Macaca mulatta: one gene and its partners. The protein of the gene in region 3 purifies or fractionates together with the protein of the main gene of each other region. This does not show direct contact. Links are inferred from orthologs where the notes say so. Each region holds a gene or a part of one and is shown on either strand. Other genes may lie near its edges.

What was found.
Region 1: the proteins of MEX3C (region 3) and MYCBP2 purify together in Homo sapiens (affinity purification with mass spectrometry; 3 studies listed by BioGRID and IntAct, with this or other methods). This does not show direct contact. The link is inferred for Macaca mulatta from reciprocal best matches to the Homo sapiens genes MEX3C and MYCBP2.
Region 2: the proteins of MEX3C (region 3) and AP2A1 purify together in Homo sapiens (affinity purification with mass spectrometry; 3 studies listed by BioGRID, with this or other methods). This does not show direct contact. The link is inferred for Macaca mulatta from reciprocal best matches to the Homo sapiens genes MEX3C and AP2A1.
Region 4: the proteins of MEX3C (region 3) and YWHAE purify together in Homo sapiens (affinity purification with mass spectrometry; 3 studies listed by BioGRID and IntAct, with this or other methods). This does not show direct contact. The link is inferred for Macaca mulatta from reciprocal best matches to the Homo sapiens genes MEX3C and YWHAE.

The regions. Positions count from the first base shown.
Region 1 is NC_133422.1:71,890,359-71,896,085, reverse strand, and holds part of MYCBP2 (E3 ubiquitin-protein ligase MYCBP2), read left to right. Parts: intron 1-1,428; coding exon 1,429-3,072; intron 3,073-3,948; coding exon 3,949-4,118; intron 4,119-4,720; coding exon 4,721-4,965; intron 4,966-5,727. UniProt on the Homo sapiens protein: Atypical E3 ubiquitin-protein ligase which specifically mediates ubiquitination of threonine and serine residues on target proteins, instead of ubiquitinating lysine residues.
Region 2 is NC_133424.1:62,266,592-62,272,318, forward strand, and holds part of AP2A1 (AP-2 complex subunit alpha-1), read left to right. Parts: intron 1-11; coding exon 12-162; intron 163-844; coding exon 845-1,013; intron 1,014-1,145; coding exon 1,146-1,283; intron 1,284-1,558; coding exon 1,559-1,741; intron 1,742-2,573; coding exon 2,574-2,671; intron 2,672-3,003; coding exon 3,004-3,235; intron 3,236-3,328; coding exon 3,329-3,496; intron 3,497-3,588; coding exon 3,589-3,749; intron 3,750-4,133; coding exon of another isoform or gene 4,134-4,199; intron 4,200-4,550; coding exon 4,551-4,607; intron 4,608-4,714; coding exon 4,715-4,797; intron 4,798-4,905; coding exon 4,906-4,995; coding exon of another isoform or gene 4,996-5,084; intron 5,085-5,727.
Region 3 is NC_133423.1:41,103,544-41,109,807, reverse strand, and holds the start of MEX3C (RNA-binding E3 ubiquitin-protein ligase MEX3C), read right to left. Parts: upstream 3,863-6,264; 5' UTR 3,565-3,862; coding exon 2,811-3,564; intron 1-2,810. UniProt on the Homo sapiens protein: E3 ubiquitin ligase responsible for the post-transcriptional regulation of common HLA-A allotypes. Binds to the 3' UTR of HLA-A2 mRNA, and regulates its levels by promoting mRNA decay.
Region 4 is NC_133421.1:2,894,665-2,900,391, reverse strand, and holds part of YWHAE (14-3-3 protein epsilon), read left to right. Parts: intron 1-3,120; coding exon 3,121-3,257; intron 3,258-5,727. UniProt on the Homo sapiens protein: Adapter protein implicated in the regulation of a large spectrum of both general and specialized signaling pathways. Binds to a large number of partners, usually by recognition of a phosphoserine or phosphothreonine motif.

The DNA of each region.
Region 1 (5,727 bases), on a different chromosome or scaffold from region 3:
AAAATTGGAATATATTACTCATTCAACAAATATTTATTGAATACCTACTGTATTCCTGGACTCATTCATAGTATTACATAAGTGAAGAGTAACAGACAAAAATACCTGCCCTTGACAAAAATGGGGGCAGATTCTCCAGCACTACTGTCCTGAGCCATAGAGAACTAGAGCGTGACTATACACACTTAACACATGCACACAAGCATAAAAAACATTTTTCTACATAATCTGAATTTGTTCACTTCCTTTTTTCTTTAAAAAAAAAAAAAAAAACCTGCCATTAGAACCAGTTAACAAATGCACCTTAATTTCCTAGGAACTCTCTTTGAAAAAATATGAATACTTCCAGATAGGTTTATGGATTTTCAGTTTCTTATACCACTTGAAACCCCTCAGTCAGATTGCTTTTCTCCTAACAACTAACTGGTATCACTTGCACTAAGAGTAGAAGTTTTTATTTTAAGGAGGAAAGGTGATGTTGAAGTTTGTACCGTTTACTTGGGTCACAGACAGCCTGGCTCTAATGCCTCAAAGAAAAGCATAAAATAGAATGAAGGAGAGACACTAAATGAAGCCAGGATGCTAAAAACAATTAATGTCCATGCAGAAATATCTAATGGTTTGCTTTAGAAAAGGGAGGTAATTCTTCTTTTCATCCTGTTTTTCTGTCATTCTCCTGACTCCTTGTTTTGAGGGTCCACAGTTCAGACTTTTACTACTCATTCTGAGGATCCACCATTTCTGTGGTTTCCAAGGGGACACAGCCTCTGAGTTCTAAGCAGCTAAGCTTACTGAACTTTTGGAGTGTAACCTGTTTATAAGTAATTAAATAATAGCTTTAGGGCATTCATGTGCTCATTATAAACTAGTCTAATCTGATCATAAAACAGAGTGCCTCTTTGGCAACTCTTTATTAGCCTAATCGTATTTATGCATACACTTAAAAATTATAATTGTGTCTATGCATAAATTCATTTCTCTAATTCAACAAAACCCATACCATTGCCCTAAGGATGCGACATATCACTCTGCTGGAAATTTAGCGCTACTTCACATTTAAAATACAAGTTTTAACATTAAATAATTTCTTATTCCCCAAAAAATTAATTTCTCTTTCTAGTCTCTCACTGAATTTAAATTCTAACTAGTTATTGCACTAGGGCAGAGGTTGAGATATCACTGATAGTTCACACTGAGTTTGTTCAGCCTGTTTTGCATCCATGAAAATAGTTTTTGGTGGTAATGGTTGTGTAATGATGTGTAGAAATTTTATTGGAAATATTTCCCCCAGAATTCTTCAAGTGTTTTAGTATGTGTGACAAACAATAAGAATTTCGTAGCAATGTTTTTTATTTCAGTGTTTAGTGGCTAAATCATTACTAAGTTATAATTTTATTAATAAGTTTCACTATAAAATGGACCATACAGGTGATCGAGGAAACATCTCAACATCTTCTAGACCAGCTTCTACATCAGGAAAATCAGAGCTGTCCTCTAAACACAGCAGATCACTTAAACCTGATGGACATATGAGCCGGACTACTGCTGATCAGAAGAAGCCAAGGGGCACAGACAGTTTATCAGCTAGTGAATCCCTCATCTTAAAATCTGATGCTGCAAAGTTGAGGTCAGATTCCCATAGTAGGTCATTGTCCCCTAACCATAACACCTTGCAGACATTGAAATCTGATGGGAGGATGCCTTCTAGCTCCAGAGCTGAATCCCCAGGACCAGGTTCTCGGTTGTCATCTCCTAAGCCAAAGACTCTCCCAGCCAACAGGTCTAGCCCATCAGGTGCTAGTTCTCCACGCTCCTCCTCACCACATGATAAAAATCTACCTCAAAAAAGTACTGCTCCTGTTAAGACAAAACTTGATCCTCCTCGGGAACGTTCCAAATCAGACTCTTACACACTTGATCCAGATACCCTCCGCAAGAAGAAAATGCCCCTCACAGAACCTTTGAGGGGACGGTCAACATCACCAAAACCAAAATCAGTACCAAAGGATTCTACAGATTCCCCAGGATCTGAAAATAGAGCTCCCTCTCCCCATGTGGTACAGGAAAACCTCCACAGTGAGGTGGTCGAAGTCTGCACCTCAAGTACTTTAAAAACAAATAGTCTAACAGACAGCACCTGCGACGACAGCAGTGAATTTAAGAGTGTGGATGAAGGTTCAAATAAAGTTCATTTTAGCATTGGAAAAGCACCACTGAAAGATGAACAGGAAATGAGAGCATCCCCCAAAATAAGTCGAAAATGTGCTAATAGACACACCAGGCCCAAAAAAGAAAAATCGAGTTTTCTTTTCAAAGGAGATGGATCCAAGCCTTTAGAGCCAGCCAAGCAAGCCATGTCTCCTTCTGTGGCCGAATGTGCCAGAGCTGTGTTTGCTTCCTTCCTCTGGCATGAAGGCATAGTACATGATGCAATGGCTTGTTCTTCTTTCCTAAAGTTTCATCCTGAACTTTCCAAAGAACATGCTCCTATAAGGAGTAGTTTAAATAGCCAACAGCCTACAGAGGAAAAAGAAACCAAGTTAAAAAATAGACATTCGTTGGAAATATCATCTGCACTGAATATGTTTAATATTGCACCCCATGGACCAGATATATCTAAGATGGGTAGCATCAACAAAAACAAGGTATTATCTATGCTTAAGGAACCACCTCTGCATGAAAAATGCGAGGATGGGAAAACTGAGACCACTTTTGAAATGTCCATGCATCACACAATGAAGTCTAAATCTCCTCTTCCCTTAACTTTACAACATTTAGTGGCTTTTTGGGAAGACATCTCTTTGGCTACTATCAAAGCTGCTTCCCAGAATATGATTTTTCCAAGTCCTGGTTCCTGTGCAGTTCTTAAAAAGAAAGAGTGTGAGAAAGAGAATAAGAAGGCCAAAAAGGAAAAAAAGAAAAAAGAAAAGGCAGAAGTGAGGCCCAGGGGTAATTTGTTTGGAGAGATGGCCCAGCTGGCGGTAGGAGGACCAGAGAAAGATACCATCTGTGAACTGTGTGGGGAGTCACATCCGTACCCAGTGACCTATCACATGAGACAAGCTCACCCAGGTAAATGATACTGGCGAATGTATGTATAAGTACTTCTTTCTTTACTGAACCGGATCACTTCATTTGAGCTGTTATATGAATTTTGGCAAAGGATAGGGAATTTATAGTATCTTAAAGTACATTATCAGTACAGGGTTTTGCAAAAAACAGATAAAGAAATTCTAATATTATGATGACAAGGTCATTTAGTGCTATTTCACTTTCATGTAGCATGTTTTAAAAAAATTTATGTGTTACCCAAAGGGTGTGCCATTAATGTGTCTGTCTCACACAACAGAATCAGTGGCGTGCCCATACACATGGGGCATCTCCTTTGATTTTACTATTTTCCTGTTCAGAATTGCAAATTAAATTAGATTATATTGATTTCGATAGGCTTTTTCCTATGGAAGTGATACTGTTTTATCAGAAGACTGCATTTTCAGTAAATGTAATGATTTCTGTAACATTGACTAATATTCCAAATTCACCTAATACAAATTTGTATTTGTAATTTTTTTCTTTGTCTACATATTATACTTCAAATGTTTTATGTGACTTCTGAAAATATATCATTGTTATAGAACTTTTTTACTTGTTTTGTCTAATTTTATTGACATAATTAAGTATATCTAAATGTACCTATAGTCTACCTCTCTTTTAATCTGCCTGAATAGAAACTAAGTATCTCTCATATTTGGGGTATCGTTTAATTAATTGCTTTTTGATCAAGTAAGCTATTTTTCTGATATAGTTAATAGCCTGAAAAATCAGATATCTATTTCAGTATTTTGCTTTCTTTGAGAAGGTAAATCTGTCGTTAATCTATGAGTAATAAGGATCAAACTATTAAGGACACTTGGAGTGTTAAATATTTATTTTTGGTATTGTTTCAAGGTTGTGGCCGATATGCTGGTGGACAAGGTTACAATAGCATTGGGCATTTTTGTGGAGGATGGGCTGGTAACTGTGGTGATGGTGGCATAGGAGGAAGCACTTGGTATCTGGTATGTGATCGCTGTAGAGAAAAATACCTCCGTGAAAAACAAGCTGCTGCAAGGGAGAAGGTATTTTATTCCATTCGGAGCTATAGTTTTAATGATATGGATACACTTTATAAAAATAGCTTTTTATGATCTTATTACATCAGATAATTCCGCATAGTTGATATAAAAGATCAGCTTTTACAATGGAAATCATATACAAATTTAATATTTGTACTACGTCAGCTGCTTTTAATTTTAAAAATTAACTATATATTGGAATAACACTAGATAACCTCTGCTACCTGTTTTTTTGGCTCCTTTGTTTTCCTATTCCATAGCTACTCTCTCTTTTCCTTATTCACTCTAGTGGCTAACCTAACTAAAAAATTTCACTGAATACACACAGATGATTTACTTTTTAAAAAAATGAATTATATTTAGATTTAACTAGTTAGGTGTTAAATTTTTCTGAAGAAAGAAAGGAAGTATAGTTTGTGTTTAATACAGAATAGTCAGCCCAGGATGAATATGAAGTGAATGTTGTTTTTTTATAATCTTAGTATTTTAAAATAGCTTTACAAGTGTTTAATAATTTTTATTGGAAACTCAAAATACTTAGCTTAAGGAACGAAATATTTTAATATAAGTCAGAAAAGATTACTTTGATTTTTTTTCTTTGCCAGGTCAAACAATCTAGGAGAAAACCAATGCAAGTCAAGACCCCTCGTGCCTTGCCCACCATGGAAGCTCACCAGGTGATTAAAGCCAATGCACTCTTCCTGCTCTCCCTGAGCAGTGCAGCCGAACCGAGCATTCTGTGTTACCATCCTGCAAAGCCATTCCAATCTCAGTTGCCCAGCGTGAAAGAAGGCATTTCTGAGGATCTTCCTGTGAAAATGCCTTGTCTCTACCTTCAGACATTAGCTAGGTAATAAAATTTTGTTGTTGTTTTTTAATCACCTTTGGATTAACAGTGATTGTTTATTGATATCTAGGGTAGTTCAGTATTTGACCTATACTTTATTAGATACTATGTACTGTAAAGAAACTTCCAGGCATTTATTTTTTTGAGTTGCCTTGACTAACATAATGACTTTATGGTAGTAGGTATTTAAAAAACTATAAAAATGCTTCATCAATTTACATTGTTACTAATACAAAACATGTCTTAGAAAATAAGACTATAGCTATCTTTCACTCTTTGGTAGGCTGACTTCAGTCTGTTAGTGTGAAATGCTGAAGTAGAAAAAAGTTGGTGTTTTCTTAGCAGTCTTTTATGTCATAAATTATTCATTGTTAGCATTTAAATGAATACTAACTGGGCACCTGCCAGCCTTGTGCTAGGCCCTGAATGAATGAATGAATGAATATAACAAAATCCTGGCTTCTATGTACTCATACTGTGATGTCAAGTCAGACATGTCAGTGAAACATTTGAAATGCCATGTGAGGAGTGCTACAATAGAAGTATGTATGTAGGATGCTGTTACAGCATAAAAGATGGAGAGTATCTGAATCTTCCCAAGGAAATCAGAAAAGGCTTCCCAGAGGGTCTGACCCTTTAGTGGAGTCTTAAAGGATAAATAGAAACCTGTCAGGCAAGTGATGGGAAGAAAGCAACGCCTGGAAGAATAACCCAGGTGAGTAAAGACACAAATGAAATCTCATTACACATTTGAGGAATCACAGG
Region 2 (5,727 bases), on a different chromosome or scaffold from region 3:
CATTTCCCCAGAGGATGCGGCCGTGAAGGGGCGGCTGGTGGAATGTCTGGAGACTGTGCTCAACAAGGCCCAGGAGCCCCCCAAATCCAAGAAGGTGCAGCACTCCAACGCCAAGAACGCCATCCTCTTCGAGACCATCAGCCTCATCATCCACTATGACAGGTGCCCGCCTGGGCCCACCAGGGCCTGATGCCCGGGGCCAGGAAGGAGGGGCGTGGAGGCCCGGACTCCTGGGTCCTAGGCAGAGGGCAGGGAATCTTGACTTTTAGGTAGGGTAGTAGAAGGATGGGGCTGTGAAGTGTCACCTGTGAGGTTGGTGCTGGGGCGCTTCCTGGGGGCAGAATTGCTGGGTTTCTTTCTCTGGGCTCAAAGGCCCAGCTGTCTGGGTCACTGGAGGTGCAGGACTGCAATGTAGGGCCGGCAAGGTTAAGACCTGGATCCGGCCGGGCGCGGTGGCTCAAGCCTGTAATCCCAGCACTTTGGGAGGCCGAGGCGGGCGGATCACGAGGTCGGGAGATCGAGACCATCCTGGTTAACACGGTGAAACCCCGTCTCTACTAAAAAATACAAAAAACTAGCGGGGCGAGGTGGCGGGCGCCTGTAGTCCCAGCTACTCGGGAGGCTGAGGCAGGAGAATGGCGTGAACCCGGGAGGCGGAGCTTGCAGTGAGCTGAGATCCGGCCACTGCACTCCAGCCTGGGTGACAGAGCGAGACTCCGTCTCAAAAAAAAAAAAAAAGACCTGGATCCTTGGGGGCTGTGAGGTGGGTCAGCTGGGGCCCGAGTCCTCCACCTCCTCCTGTCAGTTTCTCTCACTATCCCTTTCTTGTGGCCCCTGCGGGCAGTGAGCCCAACCTCCTGGTGCGGGCCTGCAACCAGCTGGGCCAGTTCCTGCAGCACCGGGAGACCAACCTGCGCTACCTGGCCCTGGAGAGCATGTGCACGCTGGCCAGTTCCGAGTTCTCCCACGAAGCCGTCAAGACGCACATTGACACCGTCATCAATGCCCTCAAGGTGTGACCCCTTGGAGCCCACTTGGGCCTGCCACCCCCCTCAGAAAGACCAGAGGCTCAGAGGCCCTTGGGTGGCCAACCCTGTGCCAACAGGGAGTCTAAAACACACCTGGGCCCTGCTGTCCACCCTCAGACGGAGCGGGACGTCAGCGTGCGGCAGCGGGCAGCTGACCTCCTCTACGCCATGTGTGACCGGAGCAATGCCAAGCAGATCGTGTCGGAGATGCTGCGGTACCTGGAAACGGCCGACTATGCCATCCGCGAGGAGATCGTGAGTGCTGCGGGGTGCGGGCTGGACTTGTGGGTCTGAGGGAGGGGGTGACTGGGGGCTTGGACTCTTGGGTCCGAGGGAAGAGGGGCTGGAGCCTGGATACCTGGATCTGAGGGATAGGTGGCTGGTGGCCTGGATTCCTGGGTCTGAGGGAGGAGGGGCTGGGACCTGGACTCCTGGGTCTCCAGATGGGGGCAGTGGTGAGCCCAGAGCCAGGTGAGTGAAAGCCCGACTCAGCCTGCGGGCACTCTGTCTCTCACACGCTCCGGCGGCAGGTCCTGAAGGTGGCCATCCTGGCTGAGAAGTACGCCGTGGACTACAGCTGGTATGTGGACACCATCCTCAACCTCATCCGCATCGCGGGCGACTACGTGAGTGAAGAGGTGTGGTACCGTGTGCTACAGATCGTCACCAACCGTGATGACGTCCAGGGCTACGCCGCCAAGACGGTCTTTGAGGTCAGCATTCCTGACCCTGACCCCCATGACCCCACGACAGGACCTAGAGGCAGAGCAAGGACGGCCGGGGCTGTGGGGCCTGCCAGCCCCTGGCCATCCTCCTCCTGCACTGCTGTGACCTCAAAGTGGGGCTTCTGCCTCTCTGGGCCAACCCAGGGCACCCAGGGCTCTGGGTCCCTCCTACCCTCCTGATGTGAGGAGTCCCCAGGGCATGGGCATGGGGAGCCCGGTGTGCAGTCCTGGCCCCAGATCTCGGTAGTTTCCATTTCCCTCTGCCCCAGGAAAGGGGACCTGCACAGCCCTGTTTTTTTTGTTTTTTGGTTTTTTTTTGGTGTGTTTGTTTTTTGGAGACGGAGTCTCACTCTGTCACCCAGGCTGGATTGGGGAGTGAGTGCCTTGGCGTGATCTTGGCTCGCTGCGACCTCCGCCTCCCAGCGTCAAACCATTCTCCTGCCTCAGCCTCCCCAGTAGCTGGTACTACAGGCGCATGCCACCACACCCAGCTAATTTGTTTGTATTTTTAATAGAGATGGGGTTTCACCATGTTGCCCAGGCTGGTTTCAAACTCCTGAGCTTGGGCAATCTGCCCTCCTCGGCCTCCCAAAATGCTAGGGCTACAGGCATGAGCCACCACGCCTGGCTCACAGCCCTGTTTTACGGCCTGTGTGAGCTTGGGCCGGTCACTCAACCTTTTTGTGCCTCAGTTTACCACTTATAACCCCACCCGCAGCAGAGCTTTGAGGGTTCCACCAGTCAGGAGGTGGTTGCACCCAGTGCTCCCAGAGAGAGTGCTCATTCTTGTCCTCTCCACGCCCTTCCCCGCCCCCCCCAGGCGCTCCAGGCCCCTGCCTGTCATGAGAACATGGTGAAGGTTGGCGGCTACATCCTTGGGGAGTTTGGGAACCTGATTGCTGGGGACCCCCGCTCCAGGTGAGGGAGCCTCAGCCTGCGGGGGGAACACTACACACTTCTGACGGATCCAGGGCTTGAGGGATCCCCAGGGGTCTCAGGGTAGGCGGTGATGGGCTCCCATCCTCTCGGCCTCCACCCCAACCCACCTAGCAGGGTAAGAGAGGACCTCAGTCCCAGGATCATGGACAGAGTGTGACTGTGGCCCCTGCCTGGTGCCTGGGGAGGGCCACTCCCCTCCAGCGGCCTGGGGTCCTGGGACAGGTCCATCCCAGGGAGGGGTGCCTCTCGAGGGGGTTTCTGGGAGAGGGCAGTGGAGCCTGGTCCCCGCTGACACCCACTCCCGCGCACAGCCCCCCGGTGCAGTTCTCCCTGCTCCACTCCAAGTTCCACCTGTGCAGCGTGGCGACGCGGGCGCTGCTGCTGTCCACCTACATCAAGTTCATCAACCTCTTCCCCGAGACCAAGGCCACCATCCAGGCCGTGCTGCGGGCCGGCTCCCAGCTGCGCAATGCTGACGTGGAGCTGCAGCAGCGAGCCGTGGAGTACCTCACCCTCAGCTCGGTGGCCAGCACCGACGTCCTGGTCAGAGCCTTGCCCCTCCCCACCCTGGCATACCCCCTTCCCGCTCTCCCCTCCTCCTGACCCGAACTGACCTTCCCCACCCGACTGCGCCAGGCTACGGTGCTGGAGGAGATGCCGCCCTTCCCCGAGCGCGAGTCGTCCATCCTGGCCAAGCTGAAACGCAAGAAGGGGCCAGGGGCTGGCAGTGCCCTGGATGATGGCCGGAGGGACCCAAGCAGCAACGACATCAATGGGGGCGTAGAGCCCACCCCCAGCACTGTGGTGAGTCCCCTGGGGTGGGCCCTGCCAGGGTGCCTGGGGCTGGGTCCTGCCAGGGTGCCATCTGTCCTCACCATGACCTGCGCTTCCTACAGTCGACGCCCTCGCCCTCCGCCGACCTCCTGGGGCTGCGGGCAGCCCCTCCCCCGGCAGCACCCCCGGCTTCTGCAGGGGCAGGGAACCTCCTGGTGGACGTCTTCGATGGCCCGGCCGCCCAGCCCAGCCTGGGGCCCACCCCCGAGGAGGCCTTCCTCAGGTAGCACCCCCTGGGCCCGGGCCCCTTCTCACAGCCACCCCCAGGGCTGTCCCTTCTCGGCCTCTGCCCGCATTTTCCCTGAGCCCCTCCCCAGCCCCCTACTCGCTCCTCTCTCCATCCCGATGCCTTCACCAGCCCTGGCTGCTGCCTCCCCTGCCCCAGCCTCCCTGCTCACAGCCTCCCTCTCCCACTCTGGACTCCACCGACACTGGCCACCCTTCGTTGTCTCCTTTCCTGTCACCGTTTCTCAGCCTGCTCTTCCTTTTCTCCTTCTCTCCTTCCCTTCTCCCTCTCTGTCTCTCTCTCTCCGGCCCTCTTGCTGCCTGTCTGGGATTGGCTGCCACGCCTGTCTTCTCTTGTCTGCTCTGGGATTGGATGGCCCAGCGAGCTGGAGCCGCCTGCCCCCGAGAGCCCCATGGCTTTGCTGGCTGACCCAGCTCCAGCTGCTGAGTAAGGGGTGGCCTGGGGTGGGAGGTCGCGGGGGGGCAGACTCCGGTGTCCCCAGGGAGAGTTAGGGGACTGAGAGCTCTTGTCAACGGGTTCCTGATGAGCAGCAGAGGCAGGGACTTTGAGGAAAGGGAAACTTGGTGCCTGCCGATGCGGGGGCACGGGCCAGGGTTCCATTCCCGTTAGAGGCCACTGCTGAACGGATGTGAAGTTCCTCGAAGCTCTGTGAGGGGTCTGGATATGTGGTTCTGGGGTTCTGTCCTTAGGGTTTGTTCTCACACTCAATTGCTCTGGGTCTTCGCCCCTCCCCACCAAGTCCCTTCCCATCTCACTCCACTCACTCACTGCCTCCAGCCCAGGTCCTGAAGACATTGGCCCTCCCATTCCGGAAGCCGATGAATTGCTGAATAAGTGAGTCCTGGGAGAGGTGGGGGAGGGGAATGGGGACAGGTGCAGAGCCTAGGTCAGGTGCAGGCAGGCATCCCCGTCATCCTGCGCCCCCTGCCACTCCCACCCAGGTTTGTGTGTAAGAACAACGGGGTTCTGTTCGAGAACCAGCTGCTGCAGATCGGAGTCAAGTCAGAGTTCCGGCAGAATCTAGGTGTGTCCCAGGGGACTGTGGGAATGGGTGGGAGGGAGACCTTGGGTTGGGCCTGGGGAAGGGGTCAGAGGGACTCAGATGGAGCTCTGCCTCCCCCACCTACTGCAGGCCGCATGTATCTCTTCTATGGCAACAAGACCTCGGTACAGTTCCAGAATTTCTCACCCACTGTGGTCCACCCCGGAGACCTCCAGACTCATATCCTCTCAGGCCCGGCCCAGCCTCCTGCCTCCAGGCCTGCCTCTCCAGGTTGGCCTTCCTCATCGTGGGGAAGCTGGCTGACCCAGGTCCACACTTCTCTTTAGCCCCTCTTGGGCACGCAGTTACTTCTCTGAGATTCAGTGTCTGCATCTGTAAGATGGGGGTGGGGTTCCTTCCCCCAGGACAGGAGATGACAGTGAAGTGGTGTGTGGGAGGCATTACTTCCGGAACTCACCTGCTCCAGGCCTCAGTTTGTCCCTGTCTGGCACCTTCCGTGTCCTGCCATTATCCTCCACTGGGCTCCATGTCATGATGCCAGCACCTCCTGCACTCAGAAGCCAGGCCTGCGGGTCCAGACGCTGATCAGGGCCTCCTCCTGTATGACCTAGGCTGAGTCACTTTGCCTATCTGGGCCTTCCTGTCCCCACCGGGAAGTGTATGTAGACCCTCCTCTTCCTCATAGGGTTATTGTGAAGATCAGAGTATCTGGAAAACCCTGGAAGGGTGGCTGGAGGTATCAGTACCCCCTGTTCCTTCTCTGGGCCTCCATTTCCACATTGATGAAATTAGAAAAGCTCAACCCCCAAACTCCTTCCGGCCGGGCGTGGGGGCTCATGCCTGTAATCCCAGCACTGGGAGGCTGAGGCCAGCGGATCATTTGAGGTCAGGAGTTCAAGACCAGCCTTGCCAACATGGTGAAACCCCATCTCCACTAAAAATACAAAAATT
Region 3 (6,264 bases):
TCGAGGTCAAACACTCTGCCAACTTTCATCGGTATCAAAAGCGGTAGCTAGTGTTTAGGAAAACACTGGAGCTCAGAGGCCATCTACATGAGTTGCTAGTCTATGTGACTCAGAATTCCATTTGTCCTGCTCTTTGCTTCAGAGCTGAAGTCATAAATGTCTCCATCTGTGACATAATTATTTCCAAAATCAATTAAGAGATGTCAAACAGAAAATTGTGGCTTCAGGTAATACATAAAATGGCAGAAATGGATAATTTAATCTTAAGGATGAAAATTTAGCTCCCTCAAAGCAAACAAGAAAATGAAATGATTTGCCCTGTTTTCCTCACTTAGGACAGGTTCTCTCCCATGGGGAAATATACTGTAAAAGGATGTGAACATTAGAAGTTACTTAGTTCTCCATACGAGTAAGCAAATAACTTTACAGGTTTTATTACTATCGTGCTGGGACATGGGGGTGGCAAAGGGGTACAATGATCCACAAGTTGAATGGTTCAAAATAGCAAAAGGACCAGATTTTCTGCTTTTAAGACAGAGGATGATGACATACTTTTAACAGTATTGTCAACTCCGGGAAAATACAAGGTTTAAATGGAAGAGCCAGCAATTTGTCTCCATGTCCTAAGACATAATTAAATTCAACATTTCCTTATTAACCAAATAAGCACAGCCCTCAAAAGAAAAACTAAGGCTTTATCTCATTTCCTATCATGTAATAGCTGGTACAAAATAAAAACTTGGAATTCACTTTTAAAAATTGATTTCTATAAAGATAACAATGTACACAAGGGCCATTCTGCAGTGCTTTACGGGGTGTCTACTATAAAGAAGGACAAAAGTTTGTATTAAACTAAATCTATAAAATATGTTATCTTGTCCCTCTGTAAAACTAGCACGTAAATGGTTTTTTCCTTTGTTACCCTAGACTGTTACCATAAGCACACTGAAGCAACTTGTCCTGAGAAGTGGCATCTTCATATGGCATTCAGACTTCTTCACATTCCGGTGTGAACGCCTGCCTTCCCCCTTTTCCACCACTCCCCTTTACAGACCTCAAGTATCAAAACAACACTACTTGGCAATTATACCTAGAAGATGGTCCTCCACACCACTCCTCACATTGTTCTTCCACAGTTTTTCAATCTCCATTTGTTAAACTCCTTCCTACCCATTTTCCAAGGCCCTCCACGGTAGATGTTCTCCTATCTGATACTCTGTCACACTAAATATACTATAGTTAGTGCCATTCTACTGTTTATTAGACTGTTATCTTCTTAAGGGCAGAAAGTCTGAATTAACTTCACACTCTCAACTCAATACCACAAACTCAACACCTGGCAAAATACATGCTTGGTACATGGCGATTCCTCAGTGTTCTCACATGAATGGTCAACTCATTCTGATGCAAATTGAGATGGTGTAATTTTATCCCATGTAAATAAAAGTTTTATCCTGGATTATTACTCTAAGTATCGTCAAAACCAAACAAACCAGGTATTTGAAACTCATTAACCAGAAGAACAACACACATAAGCTACCTCTCAATTGAAAGGTCCAGCTTTGAACAGTGTTGGTAAGTGCCAATCATCAGGCAGTCTGAAATAAGCTATCTCCTTTATCCAGATTTCATATGAGTTTTTATTAAAATCCTACAGATAGGAAAGAAATGAGCCAACTCTGATATGTGAAACCACCATTTCGACAGACCTCTTATTTATGTGTACTTTAGACCACTTGGGAAAGATGAGATCATTTAAGCAGCAGCGCCATCATCTCGCTTTATTTGACCCCAACAATGCTCTCAACCTAACAGTAAAGAGGCATGCATCAACCAGGCTAAACCATATTGTCATGCGGTGGCAGCAGGTAACATCTGCCCCTTTCATAAAGGGAAAAAGCTCCCATAAAGAACTTAGGACCTTCCCTAAAAATGTCGGATACAGAGGTACCCCAAGCATCTCCTTCCCCCACCTTCACAAATCTACTCCTGGAATCTGAGACATAGGTCCTTTGTCTGAACAATGTGGGAGGAGTCTGTCTGCAGTACTGGTGTGCTGACAAGTGAAGAGGAGAATTAACTGAAAACTGTATAAACACAGAAGTTTCTTAATTACCTTAGTGTCCAATTTTTCTTCATCCTGCACACCGAACAGTTTCAAAAGACAGCCAGTGTGTCAGTGTGTCTTTCCGAGACTTGAAACGTATCGAGAGGAATACAGTAAGATCGGCGGCAGTGAGTTGGGCTGCTTTTCCAAAGCTGTTTCTGAACAGCGGAGGGGCAGGGGATGGCGGTGATACCGACCATTTGAACATCCCTTCCCTCCCCAGTGAGCTCTGTCTACAGGCCTCCATTTCTGTCCTTTTCTCCATCTGAACAAGTTCTTGTAAGGGAGGCTGAACGCTTTAAAAAGAAGACACTCGGCGGCGCAAACTTGCAATCTCGAAGGTTTCCGTACCCAAGAGCGAACCCACAACTCCTCGAGCCCGACCTTTTACCACCTCACTGAGGTTTCTGGTGCCACGCCAGCCTGGTGTTCCACGAATACAGCCCAAGTAACGTGAACACCACCGGACTGGGTCGCCCGAAAAACTTCACACTTTTTACCAGGCGAGACGAGCGAAAAAGCGTGGGTTTTCGCAAGGTGACCCATCTTCACATCTGGTCGACCCTCGGCTCCTCCCAGACCCCTTCGGGGTGGATCTGGGGGCCTCGCCGGGTTCGCCCTTTCCGTCCCATGCTCATTTCTCTCGTCTCCCCACCCACGCCCGGGGCCATGCCCAGCTGGACCTCCCCACCCCTGCACTCACCCTGGCGGCCGACGATCTCGGCGACGTGCTCGGAGCTGGGCACCGGGACGCACTCGGTGGTGTTGACGCTCTTTCTCCGGAGCAGGGCCGCCTGCTCCCCGTTCAGGGCGGCCGCCGCCGCCCCACAGCCGCCGGGGCCGTAGGCATGGGACAGCATCGCCGCCATCATGCCCTGGGCATCGTCCCCTCCGTACAGCACCCCCGCCGCCGCCGCCGCGGCCGCCGCCTCCCGGGCATCGAAGCCGGCGGCGGGCAGCAACACAGACCCCAGGGACCCGCCTGGGATCGGCTGGGTCTGAGAGGCGGTGGCCGCGGGCGGCGACAGCAGCAACAGCGACGACCGGTCTTCCTCCTCTGCTTCCTCCAGCTCCTCCTCCTCCAGCAGGTCTCCGTCCAGCTCTGCTTCCTCCCCCTCCTCCTCGTCCTCTTCCAGCTCCAGCTCGGCCGCCTCCGGGGCCCCGGGCCGGCCAGGCGGAGCCCGCTCCTCTGGAGACAGCCCCGCCGCCCGCCGGGCCTGGCCCTGCGCCGCCGCCGCCACGGCTCGAAGCGCCGGAGCACCGGGATCCGCCGGGCTGGGGTCGTCGAGGCCTAGCGCGGCCAGGCGCTCCCTCAGCAGGAGCCCGTCCCCCTCGAGCTCCGGGCCGCCCGAGGGCGGCGGCAGAGGCGGCGGCGGCGGCGGCGGCGGCGGGGGCGGCTGCGGCAGGGGCGCCGGGGCCGCCGCCAGGGCCAGGGCCGCGGAGCTGCCGCTCGGCATCGCGGCGGCGCGCTGTCAATGGCGGCGGCGGCGGCCGGGTCAGGCGCGGCAGGCGGCGAGCCCCATGGCGGACAGGGCCAGGGCCCTGCTCAGCGCGCAAACACCTTTCCTCTGGGGAGGCGGTGGGGCTGGGGACCCGGGCCGTGGAGCGCCAGGGCCGCCCGGAGACCGGAGAGGGCGGGGTGGAGGGGCAGGGGAAGGAGGCAAAGGTAGGTAACTAGGTGGGTGGGTGGGGACGGCGGCGGGGCGGGCTGGTGGAGGTGGCAGCGGCTCCCTCTCAGGGTTTCTTTTGTTTCATGGCCTTAACCAGCCCCCGGCGCGCGCGGCGGCGGCGGCGACGCCCCACGCCGCTCTCCGAATGAAGCCGGCGCGCTCTGATTGGGTGTTTTTAATCTCTGGGAGCCCGCCTTCTCCTCCCGCAGCCTTCCAACTCCTTTCCCCAGCCCCACCCCCCACCCTCCTTCGGGCCCCGCCCCTCCCCTCCCCAGAGCTCTCTGATTGGGTGACCGGGACCAGCCAGCTCCCGAAGCCCACTCCTTCCGTCCTCTCCCCGCCCACCTCCCTCTCCATTCCTCCCGGCACGCGCGGAGAGGGACTGTGATTGTTCACTTTACACGTCACTCTTTGTGACGTCTCCGGCGGGGGCGGGAAAAAGGAGGCGGATGAAGGCGCTGCTGCAGAGGCTGAAACTAAGGGCCAAGCTGGGTTTTGGCGCAGGCGCCTGCGGTCGAAGCGCACACCTGGATTTGTTTCCCCCAACCCTTTATCCCTATAGCCGGTCTGGCTGAGTTCTTTTAGGGAAGGCACTGTGTGAGCGGCCTGGAGCAGAGCTGCAGGCGCAGGTTCGAGGGCATTGTTTCCTCGGGTTGAGGATGAGATCGCCCCCTTCAGAGGAAGGGCCTTAAGAAGAGTCATGGAAGGAGGGGCCACGCAATATCCTCCTATCCCCTCGCGGGGGCGGTTTCCTGAGCCGCGTGGCTCCCGGGCCTTCCCTCTCGGACCCGGGAATGCTCCTCCCTCGTGGCCTGACGCTCCCAACGCCCCGTTGGCCCGGCTTTTCTGCCGGCAGGGTGGTTACATCAGCAGCCTGCAGGTGCTGAACTTTAGCTCTTTGGGGCTTTTTTTTTTTTTTTTTTTTTGAAACGGAGTCTAGCTCCGTCGCCCTGGCTGGAGTGTAGTGGCACGATCTTGGCTCAACGCAACCTCCGCCTCCCGGGCTCAAGAGCTTTCCCTTGCCGGGCGCGGTGGCTCACGCCTGTAATCCCAGCACTTTGGGAGGCTGAGGCGGGCGGATCACGAGGTCAGGTCAGGAGTCCGAGACCAGTCTGATCAACATGGTGAAACCCCGTCTCTTCTAAAAATACAAAAATTAGCCGGGCGTGGTGGCGCACCCCTGTAATCCCAACTACTCGGGAGGCAGAGGCAGGAGAATCGCTTGAACCCGGGAGGTGGAGGCTGCAGTGAGCCAAGATCACGCCACTGCACTCCAGCCTGGGCTACAGAGCGAGACTCCGTCTCAAAAAAAAAGTTTTTCCTGTCTCAGCCTCCCCAGTAGCTGGGATTACAGGCACGTGCCACCACGCCCAGGTAATTTTTGTATTTTTAGTAGAGACGGAGTTTCACCATGTTGGCCAGGCTGGTCTCGAACTCTGACTTCAAGTGATCCGCCCGCCTCGCCCTCCCACAGTGCTGGCATTAGAGGCGTGAACCACCTTGTCCAGCTCTTTGGTGCTTTTAAAGAAATGAATCCCCGTTTCCTCCTCCCTAGACACTCTTCCCACAGTATTGCTCAGGTGATCTCACTCTGTGGCTATCTTTTCTATAGGTTATTATTTTGTTGTTGTTGAGACAAGAGTCTCACTCTGTCGCCCAGGCTGGAGTGCAGTGACATGATCACGGCTCACTGCAGCCTCGACCTCCTAGGCTCAAGTGATTCTCCCGCCTCAGCCTCCCTAGTGCATCACCATACCTGGCGCGCATCACCATGCCTGGCTAATTTTATCTTTTGTAGAGACTGGGTTCTCACCCTGTTGCCCAGGCTGGTCTCAAACTCCTGGGCTCAAGCGATCCTCCCACCTGGGCCTCCCAAAGTGCTGGGATCACAGGGGTGAACCACCGCGCCTGGCCTCTAGGGGGTATTTTTAAATGGCTTGTTAAAAAGTATGCCTGTTAACTTTCCTTTATCTTAGGGCTGTGACCGGCCCATCTATCCCTTCAGTACTAAGTCCTGCCAGGTTAATCTTAGCCAGCAGCGTGGTCCTATATCTACAGATACAGTGTAACAATGTAATTGTAAAATTTCTAAATGACCCCTTTAAGGCAAGAAGAAACATAGTTTTAATAAATACACTTAGTTCAATATGTCCAAAATACTATTTCAACATGTAAGCAATATAAAATTACTGATAATGTTTTATAGTTCTTTTGCACTAAGCCTTTGAAACCAGGGTGTGTTTTATACTTCCAGCAGTTCTTTTCACACGAACCACATTTCAAGTACTACTAAGTAAGTACTCTAAATTTCTTGATTTTAAAATTATAACGGGACACTTTCTATATTGGATTAACTTATTATACCTAATTGCCTTAAACTCGTTTCGTAGGAGTCAGCTTTAATTGAACACATACTTTTCTAAATTGTCTAGGCTGTTACCAAGATGGAGAAGGCTAAAGTGTGACTTGCATTCCCCATTTTGTGCC
Region 4 (5,727 bases), on a different chromosome or scaffold from region 3:
TCTGTGTGTACCTTTTTTTTTTTCCCCAGACAGGATCTTGTTCCGTCTCTGCAGTTGTGCACTCATAGCTCACTGCAGTCATGGCTTCCTGAGCTCAGCTGATCGCGTACCTGAGCCTCCAAGTAGCTGTCACTAGAGGAGGATGCCACCATGCCTGGCCTTTTCTTTTCTTTTCCTTTGTTTTTTGTTTGTTTTGTTGGTTTTTTTGTTGTTGTTTTTTTTGTTTTTTTTGAAGCAGAGCCTGTCACTGTTGCCCAGGCTGGAGTGCAGTGGCACAATCTTGGCTCACTGCAATCTCTGCCTCCCGGTTTCAAGCGATTCTCCTGCCTCAGCCTCCCAAGTATCTGGGATTATAGATGCCCACCACCATACCTGGCTGATTTTTGTATTTTTATGTAGAGACGGGGTTTCACCATGTTGGCCAGGCTAGTCTTGACCTCACCTTAAGTGATCCGGTCACCTCAGCCTCCCCAAGTACTGAGATTACAGGCGTGAGCCACTGCACCCGGCCTCTTTTAAATTTTTACAGTAAATATTGCAGTAGCAAAATGGTTGTTTTTTGCTTTTTTTTTTCAATGAAGTCTTGCTCTGTTGTCCAGGCTGGAGTGCAGTGGCGCGATCTCGGCTCACTGCAAGCTCCGCCTCCTGGGTTCACGCCATTCTCCTGCCTCAGCCTCCCGAGTGGCTGGAACTACAGGCACCTGCCACCAAGCCTGGCTAATTTTTTAATATTTTCAGTAGAGATGGGGTTTCACCGTGTTAGCCTGGATGGTCTTGATCTCCTGATCTCGTGATCTGCCTGCCTTGACCTCCCAAAGTGCTGGGATTACAGACGTGAGCCACCATGCCCGGCCTCTTCTGCTTTTTGTGTGTTTTTTTTTTTTGGTTTGTCGAGGACCACTGCTTAAGCCAAGTAGATTTTTTAAGTGAAAGCCTTTCAGAGATTGAGGAAAGTAGATTAACTGATACATTAGAACTTTAACGTTGACTATTACAGGCATGCTTCACTGTGCTCGACTGATTTTTTTTTTTTTGCATTTTTAGTAGAGACGGGATTTCACCATATTGGTCAAGCTGGTCTCGAACCCCTGACCTCAGGTGATCCACCCACCTCAGCCTCCCAGAGTGCTGGGATTACAGGCGTGAGCCACTGCACTCAGCCAATCTAAAAATATTCTAAATGGCTAGTTGAGTTTGTCCAGGATAGGGGTCATAACTGAAGAAGCTTTGGCTATTTAACTGATACTGGTGGTTGCACCTTTCCTTGTCAGACTCCAGTCTAGCTGTCCCACGTGTAGCTCCAGTTTTAAGTCACTTCCATGCCTTTGCTCATGCTTTTGCTTAAACTTGAAGTGTGTTCTTTTTGCTTTCTCCTGATCCATTAAGGTTAGCTCAAATTTGACCTTCCCATTAATTGCTCCTCCTGGGTCCCTGAGATACTTCATTTAGAGTAGCACTTGAGTCTTCGTCGTCTTCTTTTTTTTTTTTTTTTTTGGTTCTTTTTGTCCAGGCTGGAGTGCAGTGGCACAATTTCAGCTCACTGCAACCTCCGCCTCCCGGGTTCAAGCAATTCTCCTGCCTCAGCCTCCTGAGTAGCTGGGACTGTAGACATACACCACCATACTTGGCTAATTTTTTGTGTTTTTAATAGGTTTTGCCATGGTGGCCCGGCTGGTCTTGAACTCCTGGCCTCAAGTGATCTGCCCGCGCGCATTGGCCACCCAAAGTGTGCTGATTACAGGCGTGAGCCACCACACCCAGCCTCCTCCTTCTTTTAAAATAGTTACACATTTGTCCATCCTCCATTTCTAAAGTTTTAAGGTGATTGTGGACTTAGATTATGTCTCTCTTTTTTTTTTTCTATTGGTATCTGGTATCATTTCTTGGGCATAGTACACAGTATTCAGTAGGTGTGGATTTTCTTTTAAAACTGTAAAAGGCAGGCCGGGCGCGGTGGCTCACGCCTGTAATCCCAGCACTTTGGGAGGCCGAGGCGGGCGGATCACAAGGTCAGGAGATCGAGACCACGGTGAAACCCCGTCTCTACTAAAAATACAAAAAATTAGCCGGGCACGGTGGCGGGCGCCTGTAGTCCCAGCTACTCAGGAGGCTGAGGCAGGAGAATGGCGTAAACCCAGGAGGCGGAGCTTGCAGTGAGCCGAGATCGCGCCACTGCACTCCAGCCTGGGCGACAGAGCGAGACTCCGTCTCAAAAAAAAAAAAAAAAAAAAAAAAAAAAAAAACTGTAAAAGGCTTACATGACCACATTTCCGTGGCTTCTGTGTTGCCTTTTATTTTCTTTGCTTCCCTGCCTCCATTAATGTGAAATTAAATTTTATTAAACTTTGAGGTATTGTCCAAGATTTTCTTTTTGCATTAATACTTTGTTAAATATCTCGGGGGGGGGGTGGTTTGTACCATTGGTCCCAGCCACTCAAGAGGCTAAGGTGGGAAGATTGCTTGAACGCAGGAGTTCAGGTCCAGCCTGGGCAACATAACGAATCTCTTAAAAAAAAAACTTGGGGCCGGGCGCGGTGGCTCAAGCCTGTAATCCCAGCACTTTGGGAGGCCGAGACCGGCGGATCACGAGGTCAGGAGATCGAGACCATCCTGGCTAACACAGTGAAACCCCGTCTCTACTAAAAAATACAAAAAACTAGCCGGGCGAGGCGGCGGGTGCCTGTAGTCCCAGCTACTCGGGAGTCTGAGGCAGGAGAATGGCGTGAACCCGGGAGGCGGAGCTTGCAGTGAGCTGAGATCCGGCCACTGCACTCCAGCCTGGGTGACAGCGCGAGACTCCGTCTCAAAAAAAAAAAAAAAAAACTTGGCCGGGCACGGCGGCTCACTCCTGTAATCCCAGCACTTTGGGAGGCCGCGCCTCTGCAGATCGCGCCACTGCACTCCAGCCTGGGCGACAGAGCAAGACTCCATCTCAAAAAAAGAAAAAATAGTAGTGCTCCACATACCTTTAAGTTAATTTTTATTGTATTTGCTTTTTCTTTGTATCATTGTCACTATTACACACTGGAATAACTGAAGAAGAGATTGATGTCTAGCATGTCTTTTCTAATTCTGATTTTGGATTTAATTTTTATAATACATTTATTTAAATACCTTTAGGTTGGCAAAAGCAGCTTTCGATGATGCAATTGCAGAACTGGATACGCTGAGTGAAGAAAGCTATAAGGACTCTACACTTATCATGCAGTTGTTACGTGATAATCTGACACTATGGACTTCAGACATGCAGGGTGACGGTAAGCAAACACTAGGAAGTAAAAGAGGCACCTCTTTCAGTTGCAGGATTTGTTTTTACTCTCTGTAGACATTCCTTGGCATATCTTTACATCAAGCTACAATTTAGACTCACTGCCTGCTCTCTATGAAATTTTAATTATTGCCTTTATAGGAAATGGTGCTAAAGTACCGAGTTCCATTTTGGGGAACTTAGTTTAAGTCTTCCTTTACACTGTTTCAAAGGTTGAGGAAAGGAAAAGTGGAAAGCAAGTAGTTTATTTTATCTTCGTCCAGATTCAATTTTAGGGGGCTGAAGTTAACTGTATTTAAATCCAGATGGTATCAATAGGTATTTATGAAGTTTTTCTCTTTGTTGAAATTTTTTATCTAAAAGGGAACTAATTTCCCATTTACCTCTGGGGTTCAGCAGAGAAATTGTATGTTGGCCCTTGGGTCTTTTTTTTTTTCTTTTCTTTTCTTTTTTTTTTTTTTTGAGATGGAGTCTCGCTGCAACACCCCGGCTGGAGTGCAGTAGCATAATCTCGGCTCACTGCAAGCTCTGCCTCCCAGGTTCAAGCGATTCTCCTGCCTCAGCCTTCCGGAGTAACTGGGGTTACAGGCACCCGGTATCATGTCCACCTAATTTTTGTATTTTTAGTAGAGACGGGATTTCGTCATGTTGGTCAGGCTGGTCTTGAACTCCTGACCACAGGTGTTCCGCCCGCTTCAGCCTCTCAAAGTGCTGGGATTACAGGCGTGAGCCACTGTGCCCGGCTGTTGTTACTTTTAAGAGGTTTTCATTGCAAACAATTTAGCTAGAGTATTTTACTAAACTTAATTGTGATGGTGAGTGTGTGTGAATGTTTACTTTAAATACAGAAGCCCAAATTTGTTAACGTTTGTTGATTTTAAAGGAAATTTAATTCTCTCTCTCTAGAGAATCATTATTATCCATGGTAGATTGTTGAACAGGGGTGGAGAAGAAGACAAATTAGTGTGATATGAGCATTACATTACAAGATAGTTTTACATTTGGTGGTGCTGGTGCTGGTAGGAGGTTGGAAACAAAGTCTGTTGTCAGTTTTAGCTGCGATTCCTTTAAGCATGTTTCTTAAGCTGGGCTGGGCGCGGAGGCTCAGGCCTGGAATCCCAGCACTTTGGGAGGCCGAGACCGGCGGATCACGAGGTCAGGAGATCGAGATCATCCTGGCCAACACAGTGAAACCCCTGTCTCTACTAAAAATAGAACAGGTGTGTTGGCGGGCGCCTGTAGTCAGTCCCAGCTACTCAGGAGGCTGAGGCTGGAGAATTGCTTAAACCCAGGAGGCGGAGGTTGCAATTAACTGAGATCGTGCCATTGCACTCCAGCCTGGGTGACAGAGGGGAGACTCCATCTCAAAAAAAAAAAAAAAAAAAAAAAAAAAAAAAAAAAAAAGTTTCTTAGACTGAAACATATGTCGCGTTGCTTGAGGCTATCTGTAGTGTCTGTTGGGGAAATCGACCTGCTGTATTGTCTTTGGAAGTGTTACACTTTTTGAAAACGCTTCTGAAAGTGGGCACGTATGTGTCTTTTCTCTGAAAGGATCAAATCAGATTTGTGACTTTTGGGTTATGGTACTAAAGTGAGACTCAGCTTTTAATGCTTCCTAGCTCTAGGAAATGTTTAGGATTTGACTAAATCGGGATTGGCATGAGATACTCATATACATAGGACTTACTTACACGCTTGCAATAGTGCCAGATGGAGCCACGGACCACTTCCCAGCGCAGCATTTCAGGCTGCTACTCCCAGTCCTTGGAACTCAGAAACAATTTACCAACTCTGAACAAGTGGCTTCCAGCTTGAAATCTATCCCACTCTGGTTGCGGTGGCTCATGTCTGTAATCCCAGGACTTGGGAGGCCAAGGTGGGATGATGCCTGAGCCTAGGAGTTCAAGACCAGCCTGGGCAACATAGTAAGACCCTGTCTTTAAAAAAATGAAAAGAAAAAAAAGGCCGGGCGCAGTGCTATGTGCCTGTAACCCCAGCTACTTGGGAGGCTGAGGCAGGAGCATTGCTTGAACACAGGAGGTGGAGGTTGCGGTGAGCTGAGATCACGCCACTGCACTCTGGCCTGGGAGACAGAGCGAGGCTTCATAGAGCAAGACTTTATCTCAAAAAAAAAAAAAAAAAAAACTCCAGTGAGGTTGGGGGATCTTGAGGCTGCAGTGAGCCTTGATTGCGCCACTGCATTCTAACTTGGATGACTGAATGAGGTGCCATCTCTTAAGGGAAAAAAATTGTTTTAACAACTATGAAGAAGAATGGCCAAACAGCTGTGGACTCCTAACAGTCATCCCCAGCTCAGATACTAGCATCTCTCTGCCTGTTGATGGAGGGAAAGCACGTGGAGAGTTTGGGAAGCGGGATTGACTTGAGGAAATGATACCCTCTCACCCCTGGGGATGGGTGTTTGAGAGTAAAAGTAATAAAAAGTAATAAAGGTGACT